Oryctolagus cuniculus: one gene and its partners. The protein of the gene in region 3 interacts with the protein of the main gene of each other region in a pairwise test. Links are inferred from orthologs where the notes say so. Each region holds a gene or a part of one and is shown on either strand. Other genes may lie near its edges.

The links. The genes of interacting proteins can lie anywhere in the genome.
Region 1: the proteins of TXLNB (region 3) and LURAP1 interact in binary tests that used the Homo sapiens proteins (3 or more experiments, as listed by UniProt). The two-hybrid records come from large-scale screens. The link is inferred for Oryctolagus cuniculus from reciprocal best matches to the Homo sapiens genes TXLNB and LURAP1.
Region 2: the proteins of TXLNB (region 3) and CEP57L1 interact in binary tests that used the Homo sapiens proteins (3 or more experiments, as listed by UniProt). The two-hybrid records come from large-scale screens. The link is inferred for Oryctolagus cuniculus from reciprocal best matches to the Homo sapiens genes TXLNB and CEP57L1.

Annotation. Positions count from the first base shown.
Region 1 is NC_091438.1:126,539,986-126,546,374, forward strand, and holds part of LURAP1 (leucine rich adaptor protein 1), read right to left. Parts: intron 2,073-6,389; coding exon 1,551-2,072; 3' UTR 1-1,550. UniProt on the Homo sapiens protein: Acts as an activator of the canonical NF-kappa-B pathway and drive the production of pro-inflammatory cytokines. Promotes the antigen (Ag)-presenting and priming function of dendritic cells via the canonical NF-kappa-B pathway.
Region 2 is NC_091436.1:62,275,316-62,281,704, forward strand, and holds part of CEP57L1 (centrosomal protein CEP57L1), read right to left. Parts: intron 4,068-6,389; coding exon 3,888-4,067; intron 1,995-3,887; exon of another isoform or gene 1,903-1,994; intron 1,617-1,902; coding exon 1,495-1,616; intron 1-1,494. UniProt on the Homo sapiens protein: Centrosomal protein which may be required for microtubule attachment to centrosomes.
Region 3 is NC_091436.1:29,577,839-29,584,227, reverse strand, and holds part of TXLNB (beta-taxilin), read right to left. Parts: intron 4,197-6,389; coding exon 4,002-4,196; intron 2,267-4,001; coding exon 2,147-2,266; intron 1-2,146. UniProt on the Homo sapiens protein: Promotes motor nerve regeneration. May be involved in intracellular vesicle traffic.

The sequences.
Region 1 (6,389 bases), on a different chromosome or scaffold from region 3:
CGGAGAAAGAGCAAAGTTACTCCAGAATCTGGGGGAGACTCTACCAACTCAAGAGGGCACTGTGAACAGCCCGAGAGCATAATCTTCCTTCCTTTTTTCCCTCCAATGATCTAATCACAGGGCCCAACATTGGAGCAGTTACCCAGGGTTCAAAGGGTTAATTCCCAAGTGTTCACTCTGACAGGAGTCACAGTCCTTGACCCACTCTCCCCCTATCTAGTCCCTGAGCCCGAGCTTGGTAGCTTTCCTGAGAGCCTTCTTTGGTGTTATTGCTAGAGCCCTGGAACCCGGGCCCAGAGCCAGTCCCCTGCTTCCTCCTAGGGTCTAGGAGTCAGGGGCTTGCTCTAAGAGACAAGGGTGAGAAGCCTTTCCCCTGTCCCTCCTCCCTCCATGACAGAGCCCAGGGACCAAAGAGCCTCTGTCTTTCCCTGCCACACCCCCACATTGTGGTCCAGACAAGGAGATTCCTTGTGTACCAACCTCAGGCAGGCATCCTTGTGACAAACGGTGGGAGGCTGGGGATAGGGTGGGGGAAGGGTAGTCATGGGGGGGTGACACTGCCACCCCACCCCCACCCAAGATTCTTGTACACCCCCTAGGCTCCCCACAACAGTAGGGAGAGGGGGTCAGGACTCATCTCCATATAAAAGGCCTGAGGAGGAAAGAGAAAGGGAGCTGGAAGACAGGAATGGAGCCAGCAGGGACAGGGAACGAGGAGGGCTGGGGGTGGGGGAGGGACCCCGACAGACTGAGAGCCAAAGGTGAAGGCCTCTGGCAGTTTCTCTCCCAAAAAGCACAGAGACCACTGGAGCGAGGCATCCAGCAGGTGCAGCCACAGAGGAAGTGAGACCCCTCCCAAGGACAAAATGAGAACTCCGTTTTAAAAATAAGAATCTTCTGAAAAGCAGCACCAACAGTACACAGCGAGGAACCTTCCTGCGACTTCTCCCTCACAAGAAGTAATGGTATGGACAGGAAGTGCTATGGTCCCACTTGACATCAGGGGCTCAAACACTGACCTATCACCAGCCAAGGACTGGTACAGAGGAAAGGCTAGTCCATCCAGGCAGGAAATGACATCACTCAGCAGGTAGGAAAGAGTGGGGCTACCAGCCTAAAGGCTTCTGGGAGGGCCAAGCCATGGAGGGTTGGCCCTGAAAGTCCAGGTTCCTCTTCAATCTTTTGGCCATGAGGCAGGGGCCCAGGCTTCTAGACTGTGGATAAGGTAATTACACCTCTGTCTCTTCATCAGTGGTCTCCTAAATTCCTTAAGCCCTTACCAAGTCAGGGGTAGAGAGGGAAGGCACCATCACACCAGAATTCCGGGCCAGGCCTCCAGAGTCAACGTCTCTATAGAAATAGCTCTAGGGACCGAGTAATTGAGAGATGAAGGCAGAGGCTCCCTAGGGACCAGAGGGCTGGTGAGCTAGGTTTCCATAGTGATGTCCATGCAGCCTCTTCCTAGTCCCAGATTGGGGGAGAGTAAATTTTGCAAGAGACCGGGCCGAGGGGTAAAAGAGCAACAGGAATACAAAGGAGTGGGAAAGTCATTACAAGAAGGTCACATCATCCTGGCACTGCCCCCAGTACCAGTGACTCTCAAAGCCCAGCTGAGCGCTCTCCTCCTCTGGGGACTCAGGAGTTCCGCCTTGCAGCCCCTCCCCTGGGGGCTTCCACACGGATCTCAAGCTCCCTAGCCTGCTGGCTGTCAGCTCCGCCTCCGTCCTGGCCCTCTCCCCACTGGGCAGAGCCTTTGCCCAGTTGGTCTCCGGGTGGGGAGCGCCAGGTGGGCCCTGCTCATCCAGCTCGCTGGGGGCCACGGTGTCCAGGAAGCTGCCAATAGAGACGCTATCCAGGCGGTCAGCCGAACTGGCGTCCGGCAGGCTGTCCCAGCTGCCTCGCCTAGAGCGGCCTGGGCTCCCGCCCGTCAGGCTGTATTGGCTGCTGGTGAGGCTGCTGCAATGGCTGGTCAATGTCCCCCGCTCCTCCAACAGCCAGCGCACTGCCTCGATGCCCTCATTCAAGGTCACCAGCTGCTGCAGGATCTTCACGTCCACGGCTCGCAGGTAAGCCTGGAGGGAGTGGGAGAAGGAGTTAGTTCTGGATTTGGGGCCAAGGGGTTCCGCAGCATGTCTAAGAGGCCTACTCCACGAACTGTGCTTCACTTTTTTTTTTTTTTTTTTTTTTTGACAGGCAGAGTGGACAGTGAGAGAGAGAGACAGAGAGAAAGGTCTTCCTTTTGCCGTTGGTTCACCCTCCAATGGCCGCCGCGGCCAGTGCACCGCGCTGATCCGATGGCAGGAGCCAGGAGCCAGGTGCTTTTCCCGGTCTCCCATGGGGTGCAGGGCCCAAGTACCTGGGCCATCCTCCACTGCACTCCCTGGCCACAGCAGAGGGCTGGCCTGGAAGAGGGGCAACTGGGACAGAATCCGGCGCCCCGACCGGGACTAGAACCCGGTGTGCTGGCGCCGCTAGGCGGAGGATTAGCCTAGTGAGCCGCGGCGCCAGCCTGTGCTTCACTTTTAAGAAGCCTTGAGATAGAATGGTTTGGGGCGTGGGTTTCAGAGGCAGCCAAACTGCTGCTTGGAATTCCAGCTGTCAAAATGAATTATGCTGCTGCTCGGGACACCCGCATCCTCTATCAGAGTACATGGTTTCAGTCCTGGCTACTCCTTGCTTCTGATCCAGCTTTCTGCTAATGTACCTGGGAGACAACGGATGATGGCCAAGTACTTGGTTTCTTGACACCCATATGGGATATGTGGGTGGAGTTCTTGGCTCCTGGCTTTGGTCTGAGCTGTGAGCATTTGAGGAATGAACCAGTGGACAGAGGACCTCTTTCTCTGTCATTCTGACTCTGACTTTTAAAACAATAAATCTTAAAAAAAAAAAAAAAAATTAGCTCTCAGGGTGGGTGTTTAGCCTCGTGGTTAAAACACCACTTAAGGGGCCGGTGCTGTGGTGTAGCGGGTAAAGCTGCCGCCTGCACTTCCAATCCAGCTCTCTGCTATGGCCTGGGAAATTAGCAGAAGATGGCCCAAGTTCTTGGGCCCCTGCATCCACGTGGCAGACCCAGATGAAGCTCCAGGCTCCTGGCTTTGGATCAGCTCAGCTCTGGCCATTGCACCAACTGGGGAGTGAACCAACAGATGGAAGACTTCTCTATTTCTCTGCCTCTCTGTAACTCTGCCTTTCAAGCAAATAAATAAATCTTGGGGAAAAAAAAAAAAGCACTTAAGATGCCCATGCCCCACATTGGAATGCCTGGGTTCAACACCCAGGTCTGGCTCCTGACTCCAGCTTCCTGCTAATGCAGACCCTGGGAGGCAGTGATGTTTGAGTAGTTGTGTCCCTGCCACTCACATGGGAGACCTAGGTTAAGTTCCCAGTTCCGGGCTGTGGCTGGGCCTTTGCGGGCATGGGGGTAGTGAACCAGCAGACAGGAGCCTGCTTTCACTCATACACATGCTCTCTTAGAAAAAAGTTGTAAAGGTTTTTCAGCTCTGCCACAGATTAGCTATATGACCTGCTTAAAACTGGGGATTCTTTTTTTTTTATCTTTGCGCTTCAGTTTCCGTGCTTGTAAAACAGGGCTAAATCACTCTTTTCACAAGTGGCTGTAAGGATTTTGAGATGAGATCTACTAAGGACTCAATACAGTGCCTAACACAAAGAAAAGTCTCAGAACATGTTAAGTATTGGGGCCTTTGGCGTTGTGCAGCAGCAGGTTAAGCTGCTGCCTGCCATTCTGGCATCCCATATGAATGGTGGTTCGAGTCCCGGCTCCTCCGCCTCTGATCCAGCTTCCTGCTAATGCTCCTGGGAAAGCAGCAGAACATGGGAAACCCAGATGGAGTTGCAGGCTCCTGGCTTTGATCTGGCTCAGGCCCAGCCATTATGGCCATTTGGGGAGTGAACCAGTAGATGTAAGATCTCACTCTCTGTCTCTCCCTTTCTCTCTCTGTCACCCTGCCTTTCAGATAAATAAATCTTAAAAAAAAAAAAAAAAAAAAAAAAAAAAAAAAAAAAAAAAAAAAACTTTAAAAAAAGTTAAGTATTAAAATCCCATCCCACTGAACTCTGATCTTCACGTTTAGGGTATTAACTATCAAACTGGTCCAGATTCGCCAGTAAGATGTCCATAGGGCCCAAGACTAGTCCAACCTGAGAGTGAACCGGGAAGACGAGGGCTGGGGAACAGAGGGGACTAACCTGCTTCCCTGTGCTCTCCAGGAAATCACTAGCAGGTCCTGGAGGAGGGCAGGCTTGCCCCCCCACCCCGCCCCCCAGTGGCTGGGGCTCCAGGACCTCCCTCCGCCACGCACAGCCTCCCTGTCTGCCCTGGAAGTGAGTCTGCCTTTGTGGGTCATCCCCGGGGGTCCCTCGCAGCTCAGGGGCACAGGTCTGAACCTGTGCCTCCGCGGCTGCTTGGCAGCATCAGGGGCTTCGCGGCGCTCTGATTCCTAAGTACGGGAGCACCGGGATCCTCGCCCGCTCCGGGAGAGTGAAAGCGGAACACCTCCACAGCTGGCACCCCAACTTCTTCACGACGGTGCCTGCCCTGTGACCCTAAGACCCTGCCGCATTACATCACAGGTGCACATCAAGAGGCGAACGGCTCCACGGGTTTTGTTGTCAACAGTGATAGTTCCTCCACCCCACTTTCTAGAGACTGCTGTTAATTTTCTAGTCGTTGACTGGTTCCTACCTCCTCAGCTCCAAATAGCATGCTTACATCCCTACTTCTTGATTCTTAAGCTTGGGCATTTTCTGTTGATTTCCCACACTACAGAGGTTAAGGGTTTAACTTTCATCCCCTCCTTACTCCACTTCTGTACAGAAATCCTTCCCATCACCCCATCTCCCCCTCCTCCCACCAAGCAATAATAAAATTATTCAGTGTTTGCCTTATTAGGATATTCACAGCTAAGCCTATATAGTTTCCAGAGTGACTTCTAAAATGTCTTAGGATTTTACATTCTCCACAGCACAGCCTTTGTTATTTCAGCTAGTTTGCTATGAGGTTCTCAGTACATCATCCTCAAATGTCCCGCCCCTTGTCTGAATTCCCCTCTCAAGCCTCTCAAACACTTCACGGCTCCATCAGGGCCTCTCCTCAGAGGCACGCCTTGTTTCTTAGAGCCCGTATCTTTTTTTTTTTTTTTTTTTTTTTTTTTTTTTTTTGACAGGCAGAGTGCACAGTGAGAGAGAGAGACAGAGAGAAAGGTCTTCCTTTGCCGTTGGTTCACCCTCCAATGGCCACTGTGGCCGGCGCGCTGCATCCAGCGCACCGCGCTGATCTGATGGCAGGAGCCATGTACTTCTCCTGGTCTCCCATGGGGTGCAGGGCCCAAGTACTTGGGCCATCCTCCACTGCACTCCCTGGCCACAGCAGAGAGCTGGCCTGGAAGAGGGGCAACCGGGACAGAATCCGGTGCCCCGACCGGGACTAGAACCCCGGGTGCCGGAGCCGAAAGCAGAGGATTAGCCTAGTGAGCTGCGGCGCCGACCCCGTATCTTTCTTGATTTGCTCTTTCATGGAGTGAGTGGTGCTCTCCCTCCAATAGCATCCCGAGAAAGTCTGCACAGGAGGTAAATCTGCAGAAGGTTTGCACTTTTTAAAATATTATTCTCAGGGCCGGCACTGTGGTGTAGTGGGTAAAGCCGCCGCCTGCAGTGCTGGCATCCCATATTGGCACTGGTTCGAGTCCTGGCTGCTTCATTTCCGATCTGGCTCTCTGCTATGGCCTGGGAAAGCAGTAGAAGATGGCCCAAAGCCTTGGGCCCCTGCACCCACGTGGGAGATCCGGAAGAAGCTCCTGGCTCCTGGTTTTGGATCAGCACAGCTTCAGCTGGTGCAGCCATTTGGGAGTGAACCAGTGGGTGGAAGACCTCTCTCTCTCTCTCTGCCTCTCCTTCTCTCTCTGTGTAACTGTTCAAATAAATAAATAAATCTTAAAGTAGATAGATAATCTCTTCACAGTGTTATTAGTCTGGCTAGATGTAGAAAGTTGCCTCCCTCAGCGTGTAAGGCACTGTTCCATTATCTTCTGATTTTCAGTGTGTAATGCTGTTCTGGTTCCTGATCCTTCCTGTGCGACCCTCTTCCTACTGCTGCTGCAAGTTTCTAGGATCACCTCTCTGGTCCCAGTGTTCTAAATCTCCGCAGAAATCTGCCATGGCGTGTGTGGTGTGTTTTCATCATGGAGATAACTGCTCGATGGACCATTTGAGAGGTCTTTCTCTTAAAGGAAAGTATTAATACATTAGATCCTCAGGATCACAGCAAACGCATGAGAATCACTACAACACAATTCTCGTGTTGTGATATTAATGCAAAGAGAACAGATTCAGTGTAGTTCGTAGATAAAATTCTAAGACTGTGAGGA
Region 2 (6,389 bases), about 33 Mb from region 3:
TTGGATTGGAAGCAGAGTAGCTAGGATTGAACCAGCGCTTCTGTATGGGATGCTGGGTATTGTAGATGGTAGTTTATCAGCTCACTGCACACAACAGAGGCTCCTCTGCTGAAATTTTCAACCCTTTAAAAATATTCTTAATCACAGCAAGCATAATGATTTTAAAATCAGTCTATTCAAACTAGTACGTAGCTGTGAGAATGTCCATATAGTCTGTTTTATATGCTATTTCTTGTTTACAGGGTCTTACTTTCTTATGCCTGGTCATCTTTGATTGAAAGTTGCTCACTGCAGTGAAGAAGAAATATTTGTAGAAATAATTTGGGGACCCTGGGGATATTAGTACTTCAGGAATATTTCAGGCCAATTTCAGGCCACCTAGACATGCTGGAGCAGAGTTGTAATCTGGTTTCCTTCCTCCCTTCCTCCTTTCATTCCTTCCTTCCTTCTTTCTTTATAAGATTTATTTATTTATAAGTCAGAATTACAGAGAGAGAGAGAGAGAGAGAGAGAGAGAGAGAGATCTTTTATCTGCTAGTTCACTCCCCAAATGTTCACAATGGCAGGGCTCGGCCAGGCCAAAGCCAGGAGCCAAAAGCCTCCTCCAGGTCTCCTACATGGGCAGGGGCCCAAGCACTTGGGCCATCTTCTACTGCTTCTCTAGGCCATAGCAAGGAGCTGGATCAGAAGTGGAGCAGCTGGAACTTGAACCGGTACCCATTTGGGATACTGGCACTGCAGGTGGCAGCTTAACCCACGACGTCACAGCGCTGGCCCCTCTACTCTTGGTAGGCCTTGAACCCTAACTTTGATTGCCTTAGCTCCAGAAGGGTGGCTGTCAAAGGCATAGTCTCCAAACTATCTTTTCTGGAATCCAAAATGCCCTCAGAAGAAAGGAGTCTGAATTCCCTGGATTTAAGTCTACACATGGATTTCAACTGGTGATTTTTAGTGTCTTACTAGTTCTCTAATGCATTTGTGTATCTCTCTCTCTCTCTCTTTTTTTTTTTTAATATTCTACCTAGTCTTTCCTGTAAATATTTATTTATTTGAAAGACAGAGTGACAGAGAAAACTTCCATTGCTAGTTCACTCCCTGAATAGCTGCAACAGCCAGGGCTGGGCCAGACCAAACACAGGAACCAGAAAGTTCATTTGGGTCTCCCATGCGGGTGGCAGGGGCTCAGATACTTGACTTATCACCTGCTGCTTCCTAGGCATATTAGCAGGAGGTTGGCTCAGAAGTGGACTATCCGTGACTCCAACTGGCACACCAATATGGGATGCAGGCATCCCAAGCATCACGAGGCTGGCCTTATCTACTTTTTTTCTTATTTTATTCTGCAGAATAAAATGGTCCAAATGATCTATTCTGCCAATACTGTAAGTGGACATCTATATACTACTTTACTTAAGGTTATGACAATTTTCCCATGATGTTTTTTCAAAAAACATATTAAATTACATTATCATTCCTTATAGAAAGCATGCTCACCTGTTGTTCTAGGATCATATTCTTTTCCCGCTCTACATTGAGAACCATTCTCTTTGTATATTCCAGTTGCTTTTCGAGAAGTGTACAACGAGACTGTGCTGAGCTTAACTGTATACTTATATCTATGAACAAGAAAAAATAATGAGTCAGTTGATTATCACATATCTGGTTATCATGAGAAACGCATTAGGTAATTTAATCAAGAACAGAAAGTTCAAGGCTTCTTTTAGCTGTCAGTACTGACTCTTGAGAGTTATGAATATACATGCTGTATCTTTCTTTTTTTAAGATTTTATTTATTTATTTGAGAGACAGAGTTACAGACAGTGAGAGGGAGAGACAGGGAGAAAGGTTTTCCACCTGCTGGTTCACTCCCCAAATGGCTGCAACAGCCGGAGCTGAGCTGACCTGAAGCCAGGAGCCAGGAGCTTCTTCCAGGTCTGGGTGCAGGAGCCCAAGTGTCTAGGCCATCTTCTACTTTCCCAGGCCATAGCAGAGAGCTAGATTGGAAGAGGAACAGCCAGAACTAGAACCGGTGCCTACATGGATGCCAGCGCTGCAGGCAGAAGATTAACCTACTGAGCCACAGCGCTGGCCCTCATGCTGTATCTCATTAACTATCTGTTACTGATTTAACTTTGCCTTCCCTCAAAACCCAGAGGGCATATTTCTGAAAGAGGAGGATGACAGTGACTTGCAAGATGTTCTGGGAAATAACAAGGTTTATGAGGGTACTTGAAGAAGTCATGGAAAACAGAATTAAAAGACGAGCTTATTTGGGTACAAAACAATTTTGAAACCTATTTTATCAAGTCTCTTACCTATCAATACATTTCTTCTCTTCCAGGAAACTCAGGAATATGCAATTCCATTATTCCCATTTTCCTTTGCTTTTGACTACTGACAGCAGGTTACCTTCACAGAGATAAACAATGTTTTTCTTTCTTTTTTTTAAAGATTTATGTATTTATTTGAAATCAGAGTTATACAAAGAGAGGAGAGGAAGAGAGAGAGAGAGAGAGAGAGAGAGAGAGAGAGGTAGGTCTTCCATCCACTGGTTCACTCCCCAATTGGCCGCAATGGCCACAGCTGCACAGATATGAAGCCAGGAGCCAGAAGCCTCCTCTGGGTCTCCCACGTGGGTGCAGGGGCCCAAGGATTTGGGCTATCTTCTATTGCTTTCCCAGGCTACAACAGAGAGTTGGAAAGGAAGTGGAGCAGCCGAGTCTCGAACCGGAGCCTATGGGATATTAGCACTGCAGGCCAGGGCGTTAACCTGCTGCACCACAGCGCCGGCCCCTAAACAACATTTTTCTAATCCTTTAACATTTTACTTCCCTCAGCTCTAATTTCATCCAATTATCTCAGAATTTTTTTCTCCCCATCTTTTATTCTACTTATAAGCTGAAACACAAATTCAAGACTTATTTATAAGTTTATATGTTACAAGAAAAGAAAAAGTCCCAAGTGTTGAAGTAAAATTCTATAGAGAGCATACCCTCCATATTTCTTTTTTTTTTTAATTTTTATTTATTTATTTATTTATTTTTGACAGGCAGAGTGGACAGTGAGAGAGAGAGACAGAGAGAAAGGTCTTTCTTCCTTTACTGTTGTTCCACCCTCCAACGGCCGTTGTGGCGCACCGCGCTGATCCGCGCTGATCCGCAGCCAGGAGCGAGGTGCTTCTCCTGGTCTCCCATGGGATGCAGGGCCCAAGCACTTGGGCCATCCTCCACTGCACTCCCGGGCCACAGCAGAGAGCTGGCCTGGAAGAGGGGCAACCGGGACAGAATCCAGTGCCCCAACCAGGACTAGAACCTGGGGTGCCGGCGCCACAGGCGGAGGATTAGCCTAGTGAGCCACAGCGCCGGCCATGCCCTCCACATTTCTAAAACTTGTGTCCAGATGTCGCTTCCTAATTTCCACAGATGCCACAACCTACCTATTTCCTCTAATTAACCTTGTTTTCCTTTCAAAGTAGATAAATTATTTTTGAATCACTTTGTTTCTTATGTCATTTAATTTCTAGTGTCACTTTATATTTCAAATTTTGAAAATCAGTATTAACAAAAATGTAAAGCATCTCAATTATATTATGGGTTAAATTGGATTTTGTTGGTTATTCTGAAAATATTTTAATTTCTATATACAATGTCTAAAATTTAATTTTTCTTTTAGTCTGAAGAATTTATAAACTAAGATAATAGGTATAATAGCAGTAAATTCAAAGTTACATTCATTTTCTGCAAATAAAGAAACATCTGAGAACAAGGTCTGAATGTCTATTAGAACAAAGGTATTTGAGTAAATCTACTGAAATTCATTGTTTCAAATTGTAAACTATGGTAACCCCTCATTTCTAAGAACTACTGTTTTTGTTTGCGTGCTTTTACCTTTTTTCTGCTTTATCAGTTCCTGGTGTGCCAGATTTCTTTCATTTGTTTCATTCTGCAAGGCCTTTTTATACTGTGCCGCTTCTCTGGAAAGAATGTTCAGGTTATCTTCAGCTTGTGTTCTCTCGAGCTCTAAACGATGGATCTTTTCCTGAAGAGTTCTTAAGGCTAAAATAAGAGCTGTTGAAAAAAAATTGTTTGATGCTTTGAGTGAAAACTTTTGAACATTTACAATTACAGTAACATAAAAAAAGAGCAATACATTTTGTTAGTGAGTCAAAAATTATTCAAGTAACAAATATTTGTCAAAATAATGGAGAATAAGGACTAAAATTCTAAAGAGGAACAAATTTTCTCCAACATATCTTGTTAATAAATATGTGCATGACTGTATTTAGTCATTTCTAGGATGGAGATAGCGAATGAACACAATTGAAGAAGATAAATATTTCTTAAATGTAAGATAATGCCTGATCTAGGAGGCAGAGGAGTCTGAGTACAGATGAAGAAAATTAAAACGTACAATCCACTAGTTAACATGGCAATTTGGTTCAAAGCTAAAGGTTTTTTTCAGTTCTTGTGCTCATTTTTAGTCAAAGTACAACCATATATTAAATTGTCCAAGAAATTGTGATAAAAATATAGACAGATAAGATCAGTTTCTTTCATTAGAAAAATGATTAAAATGTAATGGTTTTATGATGCCAGTAACATACATGTGCTACTGTGATTTTTACTCAATTTACTAATAATATCTTCCTGACTCAGCTAAGTCCAAAGTTAAAAATCTTCAAATACACGGGGCCACATTGTGGCATAGCAGTTTGGGTTGCTGCCTGCGACACCAGCATCCCATATGGACCCTGGTTCAAGTGAGTCTTGGATGCTCCATTTCTGATCCAGCTCCATTAATGGGCCTGGGAAAGCAGCGGAGGACGACCCAAGTGCTTGGGCTCCTGCACCCACACAGGAGACCTGGAAGAAGCTCCTGGCTCCTGGCTTTTGCTGGCCCAGCTCCAGCCACTGCAGCCATTTGGAAAGTGAACCAGCAGATGCAAGATCTCTCACTCTCTCTCTCTGCCTTTCAAATAAATAAATCAATCTTTTTAAGAAATTATTTTCAGGGCTGGCACCGTGGCTCACTAGGCTAATCTTCTGCCTGCAGCGCCGGCACCCCGGGTTCTAGTCTCAGTTGGGGCGCCGGATACTGTCCCGGTTGCTCCTCTTCCAGGCCAGCTCTCTGCTGTGGCCCAGGAGTGCAGTGGAGGATGGCCCAAGTGCTTAGGCCCTACACCTGCATGGGAGACCGGGAGGAAGCACCTGGCTCCTGGCTTTGGATCGGCGCGGTGCGCTGGCCATAGCAGCCATTTGGGGGGTGAACCAACGGAAGGAAGACCTTTCTCTCTGTCTCTCTTTCTCTCCCTAACTCTGCCTGTCAAAATAAATAAATAAAAAGAAATAAAGAAATTATTTTCAGATACTATTTTACACTTTCTATTCAGTTATAAGTTCAAACTATAAAACTAGCGATGAATGGAATGTAAATATTATAAATTAACTTTCATATAGTTGTTATCCAAATAGAAAGAAGTTTGCTAGACATTTATCATTTGATTTTTACAAATGAGATAAAGATCATATTTATTGCTTTTCACACAGATTCTGTAGCTGGCTCATTAATTGGACTATTATTTCTTGTGGCTTATTCCACAAAGCTAGATGATAACCATTATTATAGCATATTAAAAATAAGGAAAAAATTAGTGTTTATGAAAGTATTCTGTATGGTATTAAGTTATGCCTAGAGCCATAAATATTTTCCTGATCCCATTTTAAGATTCTCCTAAGTGCATATTTAAAGTCACAATATTAGTATTTTGTAGTTACTTGGATATACTGGCTTCCTAAAGGATTTTCACAGATAATTTGGATATATGCAATTTCTGAACCTAATCTTTGAGTAAGACACAATTTCATTTAATTCCCTAGCATTCTAATCAACTAGTTCAGAATGATTCCAAATCTGATCTTTCATTCTCCAGAGTATTTTCATGTTTTGTAATGATGTTTTTATGATAAACCTGTGACATGTACCCAACTGGTTATCTTAATCTTCATAGCTAAAGAAGTTAAAATTAAAAATATTGACTTGTCTAAGTTCATAGAAACTTAGCAACAGAAGTGACATGAAGAATCTAGAATTAAATACACATACAATTTTCTACATAAAAGTGATGTTTTTATAACATACTTTGTACCATTCCTCTAATTTTATATTATATATTATATATTTTATATTACATATTCATATTACCTATATAATTATATATTATATGCATAATATATAATATATATTACATATATTATATACATAATATATATATATTACACCTTTTCGACTCATCTGTATTTGTTACAGCCTTTTAAAGAAAAATGACTTGGGCACTACATTTCCATCCACGAACCTTGGTGGCTTACTTTTAAGAGCTTTACAACACACCT
Region 3 (6,389 bases):
GACAAAACAACAGTAACAACAACAAAGAAATCATGGATTTTAAAAGCTCAGAGGCATTTTTGTCCCATATCCTAGTTTGTCTTTTTCGTGCGGCTCAAACTTTCCATTTATAAGGTAGGTCATATTTGTTCTCTTCTGCCTCCCAGCCATAGTGAGGATTGATTATCACAGAAGAGCATCCGACCAGTCCCAGGTGAGAGCTGGGGCAGCTATGGCGTCAAAGACCTACGTTACCCGCTCTGGCCATCCAGCGGGTGTGTGGGCATCAAGCAGGCCCACGCTTGGCAGCTGCTGTGCCAGGTGATCTCAGGGGAGACAGTGGCTGCCTGTCCTGTGTGGGTGAAGACCGTCTTCATTCCCAAAAGGAACTGCCAGAGCTGCAGCATGATAGGTGGCCGCTTTGAAGAAGTGAGAGGGACTACTTTTCTGTGACTCCAATCTGCTGTTTTGCCAAACAAGTGTAGGGAAATTGGACAGTGTGCTAGTTTCTTGCTAAGTATGAGTCACTATGAATCTGCTCTGTAATATCTCTCATGTGCATCTTGCCTAATTCTTTCTCTGACATGTCTCATATTATATCCTAGAGCACTGATATTTTGTAGGAAGAATATTTTACCTAATTGGGTAAGGTCCACAGGGGTGAATTTATTTCCTTGGATTTTGCCTAATAATAAAGTGGTTTTTTTTCTTACTTGAGAGATAGGTTGTTAATGGATTTAACAAATTCATCTTTTTCTTAAAAGAACATGGACTACTGATTTGAAATTATCCAGTGTCACCAGGTTATAGTCTCCAAAATTCATCTTTTTGTTGCCAAGTTGGAAAACTGAAGTTATTTAAAAATTACTATTCTAACAAATTGAAATAATTTCAGGTAAATGAAAAGCTTGTGGTCCAATGTTAAATGGCCAAATTTGAATAACTGGCCCATTAACTATGTCTTAAACCTCTCCTGTCTCTCAGCAACTGATACATGCTTCAATTCATACCTCTGAAATATACCTCCAAGTGTGATGAACTGTCACAGAGAGCCTGGACTTTGGGGACAGACACATGTGGGTTTTAAACACATTGTAGTCTCTTAGCAGTATGTGACCTTTAAAAAAAGTTGTATATCCTCTTTAAGCCTCAGTTCTGTGGAATGCCCCATAGCTTTGTAGGGGTGCTTGGGGTCAGTGAGATATTAGTAAACACCACCATTCAGTTTCTTCAGTCTACAGCCCAGGAGGCACCCTTCCCTCACTATCCCATTCTGCAGGTCAGAGCATGGCCTGTTAGTTTTACACGGAAAACACTTTTTATCCGCTCCGCCTCCCTTGGCTAAGTCATCCTCTTATCTCATCTGGATGGCTACAGCAGCCTCCTGACTGTCTTGCTCTCTTGTCCCTCTGGAATCCACTTCCCACCCAGGAGCCAAGTAATCTTACAGATGTAGAGCAGATCATGTCACTTTCTTTGCTAAAACTACCAAGTATGTTCCCACTGTATTTAGAATGAAATCCAAACTACCTTCCAAGCCCTGCGAAGCTACACAATCTGGCCCCTCCTTACCTCTCCAACTTCATTTTGAACCCTTCTCCCACTTGGTCCACATGCTCTTGCCTCCCTAACCTTTTCTTTCCTGGGGCACACCAAGCTGGTTCCAGCATCAGGACCTTTGTCACTGCTGCAGACACGGGTGCTAGAGATGACTCCTCATTGAGCAAGGCTTGGCCCAAGCATCCACCCCTCTGGGAGGCCTTCCTGGTCACCAGCTAGGTAGGCCCCCTCCTTGGCTCCTTCTCAGTCTAGTAGCACATTTTAAATCTACAGTCACCCTTCCTTCTTTGCTTGTGTGTTGCCTATCTCTTCCGTGGTGGGAGATGGCCCATCTCTGTCTTGTTCACAACTATTTCCTAGCACCCACTGTGGTGCTTATCAGATTAAAGACACATAGACATATTTGTTAAATGGATGATTGCCCATTTTGTGTAAAAAGTCACATGGGTACCATCCCTAGTGCTAGGCTGGCCAATTTAGTTCTCATAGAATCTCCAGCCTTTTCTCTCTCAGTCTAGTGCCCTTTGACCATTATCAAAACAGCTTCCCCAGGGAGTGTCTGATGCTGAGGTAGGCCAGATGTGCATCCTACTGGAATGATAAGTACATATTCCTTTTCCCGCTTGTGTCGCTCCTCCGCATCCTTCATCATTTCTTGTGCCTGTTCAAGTTTTGCATCCACCAGCTTCTGCTGCAGTTCTCTGTGTTTAAATATCTTGTCCAGATGCTAAGGAAAAATAAAGTATACGCATGAAACTTGGTTTACTGTTGAGGCTTAGACATTTTAAATTAAAAAAAGTAACATAAACTTCCATTCTCCAGATTTTAAGATTTTTTTAAAAGGGGAAATCGCATGGCTATCACTTTACATTAAAGACATCAATTGGTGAAGTCCCTAACCCTTCACAGTAAACAAAGGTAGCTGCAAAAGTTAGAGTTCAACAGCATTTTTAAAAATTTGGTAATGAGTAGATATGGTCTTTATTTATTTATTTAGCTACAGCACACACAATGATTTATACTTCAAAGACTATAGCATTTGGCTCTTTCTATGAATATAAATCCACTTTTGATCATAATATTTATGCAGTTTATCATGTTGAATTCACATTCTTGCTTCAAGGGTTGTGAGAAAGCCTTGGGGTGCCAGCCAATGGTTCTAGGAGTGTGGCCCCCCACCTCCTAAATTCTGTGTTGCTCTGGTGGGGATGGCAAAGCCAGTGGGATGAATTGATATACAAGTGTGCAGAGTCTTCCACACCTTTTGACCTCTGGACTTAACCAGGCAAAGAGAAGCTCCCACCCTACCTTAATATAAAAAGTTTCTATCATTAAGCCCAATTTTGTCATCAGAAAGAGGGCAGGTAGAATTCTGTCCTTGGGACTTAGCCAGAACAATCCTAGAGGAATTTATAACCTGTATACCAGGCCATTCCCGTCCAAAATTTCTCTGAAGAGCATGGGCATTTTCCTTTTGCTTCTTATTTAGCCTGAGCCTCCTTTCTGGAGTGGGGTTGATCCCTGTGACCAGATGAAATGGTAGCATTGCTTACTGTGAGGAGTTGAGGAGTGAGTTGGCATACTGTGAGTTGAGTTACCTAACTACTGTGAACACACACCATTGGCTCAGTTTTTCTCTTGATAAAATCTTAGCATCTTCCAACAGAGTTGCTTTGACTATGTTATGTTATATTTTAAGGCAGGTAAGTAAAATCTGGGTGGGGTAGGGAGAGGAATGTAATATATTCAAAATCCTGAGAGGTTATCTGGAATCTTAAAAATATTCAATATTAAAATATAACTTTGGGATCACAGGAGACCCTATCATGCTCCTAATGTTAGAGTATCGAAAGCACAAGTCTCTGGCTTTTGTGACTGTGGGATGGTGATTTAATGTCACAGCTTCTGCTTCCAATCTACAAAATGTGGATAGTATATTATTGTCTAGTGCATGGGATTGTTGAGACAGTTCAGTGACATATTATATGTAAAAGGTGGTATTTAGCACATTGTCTGACATGACGGAAGCACAGAGTAAGTGACACTATAATTATGACATTATTGATCGTGTTTTAGTGGCTTGTGGGGTATATAGAATGAATGAGGGATTCTTTATTTAGATGACATGGTGATTCCTAAGAGAGTATATGTGAATCACTTTTTGGCTCTATGGAGGGGATTTTTCAGAGGCTGAGAAATGCTGTTTTCAAGGGTGGCTGTGCCTCCAGCCTATTGCATTTGCTTAGCAGTGATTCCAGTTTTGAAGAAATCCCATAGGACTTTCAGCCAGGTATTCCATAGTACCATCTCTCTCTATTTTGGCGGGTAAAAGAAATCCAGCCCTAAATATTAATCAGTTGAGAAGTGAGGATTGGCCATAACTTTCTTATTGACCAGCTTCGCAACCTTCACGCCCCAGATTCAGATCCATAGAGTTCTAAGTGGATGCGTGTGCTTCTCACCTCCTCCCGGAGCTCGTACTGATCGATGATGCTTTTCAGTTTCTCTGCCAGCTCTGTGTTCTCCTGACAGAGCTTCATGTTTCGCTCACTCTGCTGCTCGATCTGAGCCTGGATGTCTGTCAGGGTACTCTGGAAATGACTTGTGATCTCTTTCCTTTTCTCTTCTTCCTCACGTGCTCGCTGAAGGGTTTCCTCCTGTGAATAAAAAACAAAATATTTTATGATGATGGTTCAAATGTGCTCTGAGTTTACAGAACCCAGGATTAGCCCACACGAAAAGGGGATTAGCGGGTAGGGTAAGTGGATATTTTTTCTCAGTTCTTTAGAACTAACCATGCTCAATCCCAAGTGAATGTGTGAGCAAGGGTTTCAGCTGTGAGGAGGCAGTCACTCAGAGCAGGTGCTGATAGCTGGTGCTGAATAGGGTTGTTTTAAGAATGATAGATCTCCTGCTGAGTGAATGAACTGCCACGATTTCTAACAAACAGGCAGTCACAGGGGTTTGATCTCTTGGCTGTGGCCTGGAAAAAAGGCCACTCAGTTTTCATGATTGATGGGCCAGATCCTGTGTTCTTTTGGTTTGGTACAGGAAAAAGAACAATAGATCTTATATTTCTCTGTAAAAACTGTGGCTTATTAACCACATAAATGTATTACCCAAGTTTCACAAATATGAATGACCACAGTATAAACTTTCTTAGTAAGAAAAAACTTCAATCAAAAGGCTTAAAAAAGGAAACTAATTTATAAAGAGCAATTGAAGCTATTCAAACATATAAAAGGAAGTCTTCCCAAACATGTGTGATATTTTATTTCTGAAAGAATAATCATCCCACATGTCACATGTAGTAATTGAAATGTTCAGTGTAAATCTTGGTTGTGAAAGCAATATTAAGTTTCAAATCTTCTTCAATGAAAAAATGAAACATCTAATTTACTCTGCTCCTTTGTTAAAATTGAAGAATTGGAAGTTTTATACCATTTCTGTTCTTTTTCTTTTAAATCAAAACTCTCCATTCATTGCAGCTACTAAAAATGTGCTCAAATTCCCTCCACATCTATTTTGAGAATTGTTTGCTTTGTGATTGTTCCTCTCACTTTAGAATAAAAGGGTTTAATTTTGTTACATCATACCATGACAGAGACACATTGCTGACAAGTGTAACATTTTAGGCTTCCTTTCAGTCCTGATTAATTAATATGAAAGCTTCCTTCATTGTTAGCAAGTAAAATCATACTTCATTGAGTTTTCCACCAAATTCAAATTATGTAACATGATTTTTTTAAGGAAATAATAATTTTAATATGAGCAGTTCTTATTATAATAGAACAACATAGTCAAAAAGAAATCTGATCCTAGAAATATATTCTATGGAAATAATTTATCATTATCTTCTTTGCACTACAGAATTAACAGTCCCACACTCTAAGATGACTCCTGACGTCAGAACCATAATTTATTCATGTTATGAATCTTTATTGAACAACAACTTCTCAGGAACATTTTAGATATCTGAACTTCCTAATCTGAAGGAATTAACTCTCCAAAATTTTATTTCTTTGAACTTTGTATGAGAGTACCTGAAAACATTTGTGAAAATGAAGTTCAAAGATAAGTTTATTTTGGTAGAAAAAATTAAAACCTGTGCAACAGTGTTTCATCATACACATTTTCCATGAACTCTTTCAAGACCTTCATTTGCATGAATTCCAAAAACTTTTTTGATCAAAATAAACTTACCTTTTGACTCCATTTTCAAAGAATGCTTTGAAGTAGCCTTGAATAATAACCCTATATGTGAGTTTCACTAAGATGATTATGGTTCCTGGAATAACAATATGATGGTTGTTGCCTCCTCCTTGCCCCTGATTTGCTTAGAAGTCATTAAGTTCTCAATAGAACTAGAGACTATGATGAACTGGACTTCTGTTGGCATTAACAAATATTCCATCCATGAATACATGAGCAATTGCCGAAACTATTCCATGCTACTTAGCAAGTGTGACTTTTTCATTGGAAGCTGGCTAGATTACGGTGACATTAAACACATGTCAAACTATCCTACACCCAACCCTGGCTCACAGAATGACATCTTACATTTTACATTATGTTGTTTTCCAGTGAGTCAAAAATAAGCCCAGCAAAATTTTATAAAATTTGAGTCCACTGATAAAGAATTTGCAATTTCTTTTCTTTATATCAAATATATTATTCAAAATGAAAATCAATAGTGAAAAGAAGATTGAGGGACAATGTCTGAAATAACTAAGAAAACAAACTTTGCATGCATCATTGTCCATGTTAGAACTGGTGTTGTGCTTGGCACATAAGCCACAGTATTCAGTAAATGTTTAATGAAACAATGAATTATTAATTTATGTACAGAT